Drosophila melanogaster: one gene and its partner. The protein of the gene in region 2 interacts with the protein of the main gene of each other region in a pairwise test. Each region holds a gene or a part of one and is shown on either strand. Other genes may lie near its edges.

Region 1 (4,366 bases), on a different chromosome or scaffold from region 2:
ACGCCTCAAAATCGAAATGGAAATCAAAAAGGCAGCAGCAGAGAGGCCAGCGAAGAAGGACGCTTCGGGAGTACAGTGGCCGCTCGAGCATGACGGATTTAGTTACTTAACTAGATGAAATATTTTGAATTAATTAATAATAAAGTTGGAAATATAGATAATGCTATAGGAATAAAGAGAAAAGGATCTTTAAATATTTTAGATATAACTGTAGTTCCATTTCTATAGATATTTTAAGTAGAGGAAATTCTAGAATTTCTAGTTTCCGAGTGATCACTGTAGCTAGACCGTTTCAACCCTCCGATGGGCACACCCTCAAGCTAATCCGGCCATGCTCAACTGCTCGGCCTCACCTTGGATCCGCTGCTCTTGCCATCGCCTCCTTGCCATGGCGTTCGCACATCAAGTATATATTCCGGAACTATATGCCATAGCTGCAGTTTCCTGTTGTTGTTTGTCAACTGATTTAATTTCCTCCTCCTTTTACCGCTTTCTGCTCTGATCACCGCCTCCTGCTGCGAGAGGGCGTTCTCCGCTTTTGGCCACACAAACAAGACCGCCGGATAATGACGATGGTAATGATGATGGCGATGTTCAGACGATGGCGACTTGCAAAAGGGCAAATAACGGTGTAAATGAGAGTGTTGCTACTCGAAATCTTCGACCCCATGCGGCTACTTTGTGTGCAAGAGTGTGCCGCTGTGTGGAAATCGCTCATTAAAATATGAAAACCCGATTTGCATACATAAATGCTCTAATTCTCTTTACGTTCAATTTTAGGGCTTAAGAAAAATTCTTTAAAATTAAAATGAATATCGATATAGATAATGTAATGTTAATTTGACTCTAGATATAAAACTTCAAATAACCAAAGTTGGAGATGCAGACCTGTTTGCATTGTTAGATCATAAATAATGCCAAAAGTTCTCTGCAAACATTACGCAAAGTGGGGGGCGTGGGAGTGGGCGTGTGGCATGTGGGTGGGCGGCCAACTGCTTTGGCCATAAACAAGCCCAAACAATGCCAGACATTTCAAACACAATAAATAATTGAAGCCAGCGCAGAGTCAACAAGTCAAACACATTGCGGTAACACTGGCGATTGTTGCCAAGCGCTTTTGGCCACACCACAAAGTCCAGCTTTTCAGTCCGATCTAGATATAAATCAACTTGGCCATGCACATGCAGAACGCAAATCCAGCTAAAAGGCAAACAAACGGCTTTACAACTTTACAACTTGAAGAGGGGAGTGAAAAGTTAACAACGCTCATTTGGCGAATTTCCCAAGATATGTTCGGATTTTCAGCAGAGGGCGACCGCCCAGTTATCCATCACAATCGACAGTTTCCACGGGCTTTTCACACTGGAAAAATCAAAAAGACAATAAAGACGAGGCTTTTGCCAATTTCTTCCACAGGGTGTTGTAGTTACTTTCTATTTCTGTTTTTTAGCTTAGGCCAACATTATTGGCATACAATACTATTATTCAATCTATTTTATATCCCGTTTTATTTGTATTTTCCATACATTTTCCTTTTTTCCTACTCTTAAACTAAACTATTGCCATTAAAATTGCATCATGCTCTGCAGAACTAATTGGTAATTCCTGGTTTCGATAGATCCCCTCCCAGATGAGGATACCTCTGCGCTGAGGCTGGATTACAGCTGAAAAACTTTTGAAATAATTAAAAAATATTTTCGTCTTGGGCTTGGGCCTGGTGCAGGCAGAAACGGTGGAACTAAGTGCATATAGCATATATTCGTATATATAGAAAGCAAAAGTTGGCGCTCCAAGCGAAAGAGATCGAAACTGGTAAAACGACTTGGCAACACGACCGCGATACCAATACTCGCCCAAAGTTGACTTATTGGAGCACTTAGCTCGATTCTTGTTATTGTTACGCCGACTTGGCCGACTTGTTGTTGCCGTTAACGTTAATAGTACCAACACAATTACATAGCTTGGAGTGCCTAGGCGGAGTCGATCGGCGATCCAGCGATCCAAGGTTCCCGCTCGGACTATAAAAAGCTTGGGCGGCACCGTTGCGGAAGGCAGTTAACTCCACAAATCCGTTGCCGTCGGTCCCATTTCCCTCTTAACCGACTTGTAAGCGTAAAGGCGCGTGTGAATCCCCCTCGAGAAGAAGATAAAATTGTGTGCAGTTTACGCTTGACAAGGATATTCCCCACACCAAAATGTTCAGATTTGTGAGTTGTGTTTTATTCAAGGCTGTTCGAACAATTTAAAAGCTATTAAGAGAAAAGTAATCAAACTGACGGACAAAAGTGTCAATTCAAACCAGGATATTCTAGAGTACACATTAAATAGTGAAAGTCTTACCTTATAATACGTTAAGTGATAATGACTCAGATTAAGGAATTGGCAGCACACAAATACTTGATTGTACAATAAATTTTGAATTCTTGACAGCTTGCACTGACCACCTTGGTGGCCCTGGCTTCCAGCCAGCACTATCACCAGGATCCCAAAACGGCGGCCATCATCAGTGAGCAGCGTTATCTGTCCGGAGATGGAAAGTTCGGAGCTGCCTATGAGCAGGAGGATGGCATCAACTTCAAGGAGGAGACGGATGCGGATGGAACACGTCATGGCAGCTACAGCTATCTGGATCCCACGGGCCAGAGGCGTACTATTTCGTACACAGCTGGCAAAAATGGGTAAGCACTTTCTATAGAACAAATACCCGAACTTGTATTAATTTGGTTTTTATTCCGAAATAGTTTCCAAGCTTCTGGAGATCACTTGCCCCAGGCACCACCTGCTCCACCACAGCCCGTGCCCACAGCGGGATATCAGCCACAGCAGCAGTACCAGCCGCAGCAGTACCAGGCTCCCGCTCCCCAGCCGCAGGCCAGTTTCCGCAGCAATGACTACGGAGATGATGGTTCCTACGATCCCCGCTACAACGATCCCTCTTTCGGACAGAACCAGCAGAGCTACCAGCAGCCCGCTGCCCAGCCGCAGTACCGTCCTGCTCCCCAGCCCGCCTACAACCCACAGCCCGTGCAGCCGCAGCAGCAGTACCAGCCTCAGTATCAGCAGCCCCAACCCCAGTATCAGCAGCCGCAACCCCAGCAGGCGTACTACACCACCACCACCCCCAACCCACACCGCTTTTCGCCACCCGGCAAACTGTCCCTGAACCGCACGCCCGATGGCTTCACCTACTCCTTCAACAAGGTATAAGCCCCACTGTCCTCCACTCAGACATTATGCATCTTCTTCATTAGTAGGGATCCTCTTTCTTCTTTTCCAACTTTCCCTATCACAACTAGAACCCCTACTCTTTTCTTGACTCCATCAAACTCTCGTGTGATATGTTTAAGAGCAATTGTATCGTACTTCCTATATGCGTACTGTTTGTTATTAATTTATAATCCTACACAGAGAAAATTAATCGCTGCTGCCCAATGGGTATTGCTGATTTAAATTACAAAATATATTCAAAATATCATTTGCATATTTTTGAAATATGAAAAAACTCAAGAAATGTCGGCCTTTTTCTCTGTGACTTTCCCATTAAACTTTAATCTTTCCATTTAAGTCTTCCCAAGAAAAGAGAAGTCAATAAACTTCGATGATGTTGAAAAATGATCAAAATTAATTTAGAAACTATGTTAATTTGGGCCTTGGGACGTCTGAGCAATTTGTACTATAATCGAGTAAAAACAATATATGAAGGAAACCAAGTTCGTGTCCTGCAGTCTTTTGTTTTTCGGCCAGTGGCCGCTTATTTAATTTCCAGCAGATTTATCTAAACACCTCGGGTGGTGAACGCCCACTAAATGCGGCATTACACAACCGACTTTCGTACGTGCAAAACAAGTTTCGAGTTTCTGTTACGATTCTATGCGGCCAACAAGGAAAGACCTCAAACGGGTTTCGCTCATTTGACAGTAATCTTGGCCAATTGTGCAAAATTCCGATGAAAATGAAATCAGCCTGGTGTGCTGGTGCTGGCTAAGCCGGAAAACCATGTGCAAGTGGGGGTGGCACTGGTTCATTAGGGGATTGGGGCTCTAAATCAATTCCCAATGGTATTGCGATCCGTCAGGCTCCAGTTGCGTTAGTGCAACTTAATAACATCCAAATGTTTTGCATATTTTATGCACCATCGAACGCAAGAATGCCGCCAGCTAATTTGCTATTTCCTCTCACCTGCTGAGTTCTCAGCATATGTGTGTTATAGTTTACAACTTAATTCGAGCACCGATTGCTATTCTATTATTTAATTGCACTTATACCTATATATTTACTTCGGAAATAATAAATTAATTCAGGGCATGCTGAAATAATTGATTTCATTCAATATCTCTCAAAATCTATTCTAATTTGACTATATTTT
Region 2 (3,850 bases):
GGGTTTTTCGGTGGCTGGTGAGATGCCGGATTTGTTCACTCCCGAACCGGATCTCACGATAGACGAATGCCACGATGAGTTCACCATTGCCTGTGCCAACGCTTCACTGGTCTTCTCCGATTCCTACGATCTGTGCGAACTGAATGCCAATGAGACCATCATCAATCTAGAGGTCGATGTTGAACTGGAGCGACTCCAAATCGAGTTGGGATCCAGTGCGGTGTGCGGCAATATGCAAATCTGCGATACATTGGTTGACGATCTGGAGTACTTTCAGTGCATCAATAAGAACGTAAGTTTTTGAATTATGTTAAAGATGACTATTAAGTGTGTAGAGTTCGAAATTTTAAGTGCAAATTTAACCATTTGTTTTTAGGGAATCCATAACCTCGACATTCTGACCGAAATAAATTACAATGCCACAAGTGCTTACACACGACTTCACGAGGACTATGATGCAGTGCATCGGGCGCTTCTGCTTTGCGGCCTCGATGCCCAAAAAAAGTACATGGAGGACATAAGACAGGCCCACAGAGAACTCACTAAATGTCGATCCGAAATCGACGAGCTTAACGAGTAGTCGTCGCTTATCTGTCACTATACTAACAAAATGATTAAGGGTGAATAAACACCATCATATAAGCAGCTAAATCACTATAGTTTACCAAGAATTGATATTATTGGCTGATAAGAATAAAACTTTTAGGATTTGTTAATTGCCAGATCCATCTTAGATATATTAAGTCAGTATATATATATAACTTCCATAGTTAAGTTATATTATACATGGAAGTACAATAAATATTTATTAATGTTCAACTCAGTGTGTATCATTTTGCTGCAGACACTGATCCAAAGATCGAAAGATTGTATTGGTTCCTTTGACATAATTTTGTTCGGTTTGATTTGTGCAGCGATAGTGCTCCAATTCGATTCTACTTAATTTCTTATTTAGGATTAAAGCCTGCTCGGTGGCATTAAATGATATACTGTAGACATTCGCCAACTGTAACTTAGCCTAGGGGGGAAACTAAAAAGGTTAAGAAGGTTTCGAATCAACGCATAGCCACTCACCATTTTGGCAAAGCAGTTGAAAAAGTCCACGGCCTCCGTCAGGACCAAACACTGATCAATAAATGATGATATGCCCAGGGCAGCCTCTCGAATCTCCTCCTGAGCCTCAGTGGCATCCGTTAGCAAGGACAGCCGCTCGTTAATGGTAATCTTCTGACAGGCATTATATCCTTGCGACCAGGTAGCCCCTTCACTTTCCAGTTCCGGTAGGTAACGAGCAAAACACTTCTTGGTGTTGCCCAGACTCGAAACAGTTTCCTTTCCATCGTCTAAGTAAGAGCAAAATGAGTTTAGAGTTCGGGGAGAAGGCTCAGCAGCACATGCCTAGAAATGTAGTTGGAATTATTGAAAAATAACAATGATATTACTTCTTTACCCCAAGGGCTATAAGCAGAATGATAGCTGTTTTCATGGCACTGATGACCATAAAACACTGACGGAAATCGAAGCAAAATTTCCGCGTCAAGTTACCGAAAGTTGGTAATGTAATCGGACAGTGATGTATGGTTTGTTTATAGGCTTCTTATCGCTGGGGTTCGTCTGCAAATAACGATCCAGTAGCTCCCAAACTGTGCACTTCGATGATGAGTATAAAGTGTTGCATACTTTTAGCTAAAAGGAAAACTTCCGGCGAAAGTTGGTTGGTCTTTGCAATTAATTACGTCACTCGATAAAAAAATAGTAATGCGAAATGGTTCAATAGATATTGGGATGTATGAAACAATTGGTTACAGCAATCGACTCTGCGGATCGCAAAACCCCTAAGCTCCTAAATTACCTTTGATAAGTTCAAAGAACCGCAAGTTAGGCCTTCCGGTGGTTCCTGGCCACCTTATCTTCTGACTATCAGGTTTTGACCCTGAATACACGTGTGTGGCATCGAATGGGAATGCACATGCAAAGCAATTTGTGGGTCTGAGCATTACGCATACGCATTAATGCTACCTAATTGATCGACGGTGGGTAGTAGGAAAATATTCGCAAAAATATCATTTCGGGCAAACGGATCAATCATTCGCACCGCCGAACACGTATATAAAGGTTTTGTACCCCTTCCTTGGCAGCGACAGTAAAGATCGAGCCGCCAACAAAACGACCGCCAACATGAAGCTTCTGTGCAGTGTGCTAATCCTCGCCAGCGTTCTGGCGGCCAACGTAACAAATAATTTGATATTCGCCACCATTCCGGCAATAACCAGTTTGGCTTTCTCCTGAACAGGCCAAGCCCAATGTTCAGCTGCAGCTGCAGAGTGCCCTCGACCAGTATTTGGTGCATGCCCGCAATTTGGATACCACCGTTTCCGCTGATGTGACCACCCAGTGCTTCAACCTCTATCTGCCCATGCTGAACGAAGTGGCTGCCACCTTCTCCACTTCCTATCAGGCCTGCATCAGCACCGCCAACGCGGAGACCGCCAATCTGACCGCCGAGGCCGACAAGCAGCAGAAGATCTACCAGGCGGAGGTCACCAGCCTATGCAGCGCCTTCACCGCCTGCAACAGCGACAACGATACCACCAACTTCTTCAAGTGCTACGCCAATGCGGTGAGTTGAAGCTAAAGGATCTTCCGAATGATAGTTGTTAACATAGACTAGGGTTCAAGTAGTACTCATATGCCCCAACAAGTATAGGTAATTCGCATATGGTGAAAGGCCGGAGACTAGGTCAATTTTTTTAGACCTAATCTTAATGTGTTACAAAAAATGTATCGTTTTATTTCCTTAGGCCGAGAGTGATGTATCTGTGATCTATGGCATCGCCACCAATGCCGCCAGTTCGGCCAACTCCCTGAGCACAGGCATCCAGGCCATCCAGGACACCGAGTACCAGTGCACCAACACCACGGAGAGCAACTACGTCCGGGATACCGCTGCCACCTACGATCTGTTGGACAGCTGCCTGAAGTACGGAGTGCCCACCACCTCCACCGCCGCCCCCTCCTCCACCAGCCCCGTTGATAGCTCGAGCGGGGCTCCTGTCACTGATGGCACCACTGTTGTGGCATCGTCCACCGCCGCTGCTGACACCACTGTGGCTGTGACCACCGCTGCACCCGGAACCGCTGCTCCGGCGACCACCGCCACTTCCGGCACTTCGGCCTCTTCTTAAGTCACAACTTTAAGTAATCACAAGCAATAAATGAACATTTGAAAAAACGTTATGAAAGGTGTCCTTTAAACATTATTTAGGAACAGAAAAATTTATTTTATATGTCGAAATCATTATGTAAATTTAAAGGAACTCAATTAAACTTATTTGTTTAAATTTTTATTTTTCATTAAGTTATTATTAACACTTACATATTATTACTACCGTCACTCTCTCTCTCTTGAGATAGTTGGTAGCACATTAAGTACCTATAAAAAGTCAAATGAACTAGAAATCTTTTAAATAGTTGATTTACGAGCAAACAAGTTTTTACATATGGCATGTAAGAGTCATCATAATATATTTTACATATTTTAGCCGGATAAGAGTTTCATTTCATTTATTAAAAATATAGGATTTGATTACAACTGCTAACTTTATATTTTTTTTTTTTTTTTTTTTTTTTTTTTCATTATTACGATGATGTTTTTATTATTTGATCAACGCACTGTTACCCATGCGGCAACTTAATTTGATCTGCTTAAATTATTTTATTTTACAATGTGTCTTGGTTACTTAAGACTAACAGATTTTTAATCCTAAAAATGATAGGGAGAATTATAATAGTTGATATAACATAGTAATTATTATTTATTTGATTATTCTAATGAATTTTAAAACTAAGA

The links. The genes of interacting proteins can lie anywhere in the genome.
Region 1: the proteins of CG5767 (region 2) and Cpr100A interact in a two-hybrid assay, tested with the Drosophila melanogaster proteins (one large-scale study listed by BioGRID).

What each region holds. Positions count from the first base shown.
Region 1 is NT_033777.3:30,865,477-30,869,842, forward strand, and holds Cpr100A (cuticular protein 100A), read left to right. Parts: upstream 1-2,044; 5' UTR 2,045-2,195; coding exon 2,196-2,207; intron 2,208-2,430; coding exon 2,431-2,678; intron 2,679-2,741; coding exon 2,742-3,207; 3' UTR 3,208-3,708; downstream 3,709-4,366.
Region 2 is NT_033778.4:18,045,771-18,049,620, reverse strand, and holds CG5767 (uncharacterized protein), read left to right. Parts: upstream 1-2,136; 5' UTR 2,137-2,178; coding exon 2,179-2,229; intron 2,230-2,293; coding exon 2,294-2,620; intron 2,621-2,801; coding exon 2,802-3,185; 3' UTR 3,186-3,235; downstream 3,236-3,850. Other genes in the region: CG14495 (uncharacterized protein), read left to right, coding at 1-292, 377-580; CG34005 (uncharacterized protein), read right to left, coding at 821-1,018, 1,075-1,398, 1,451-1,486.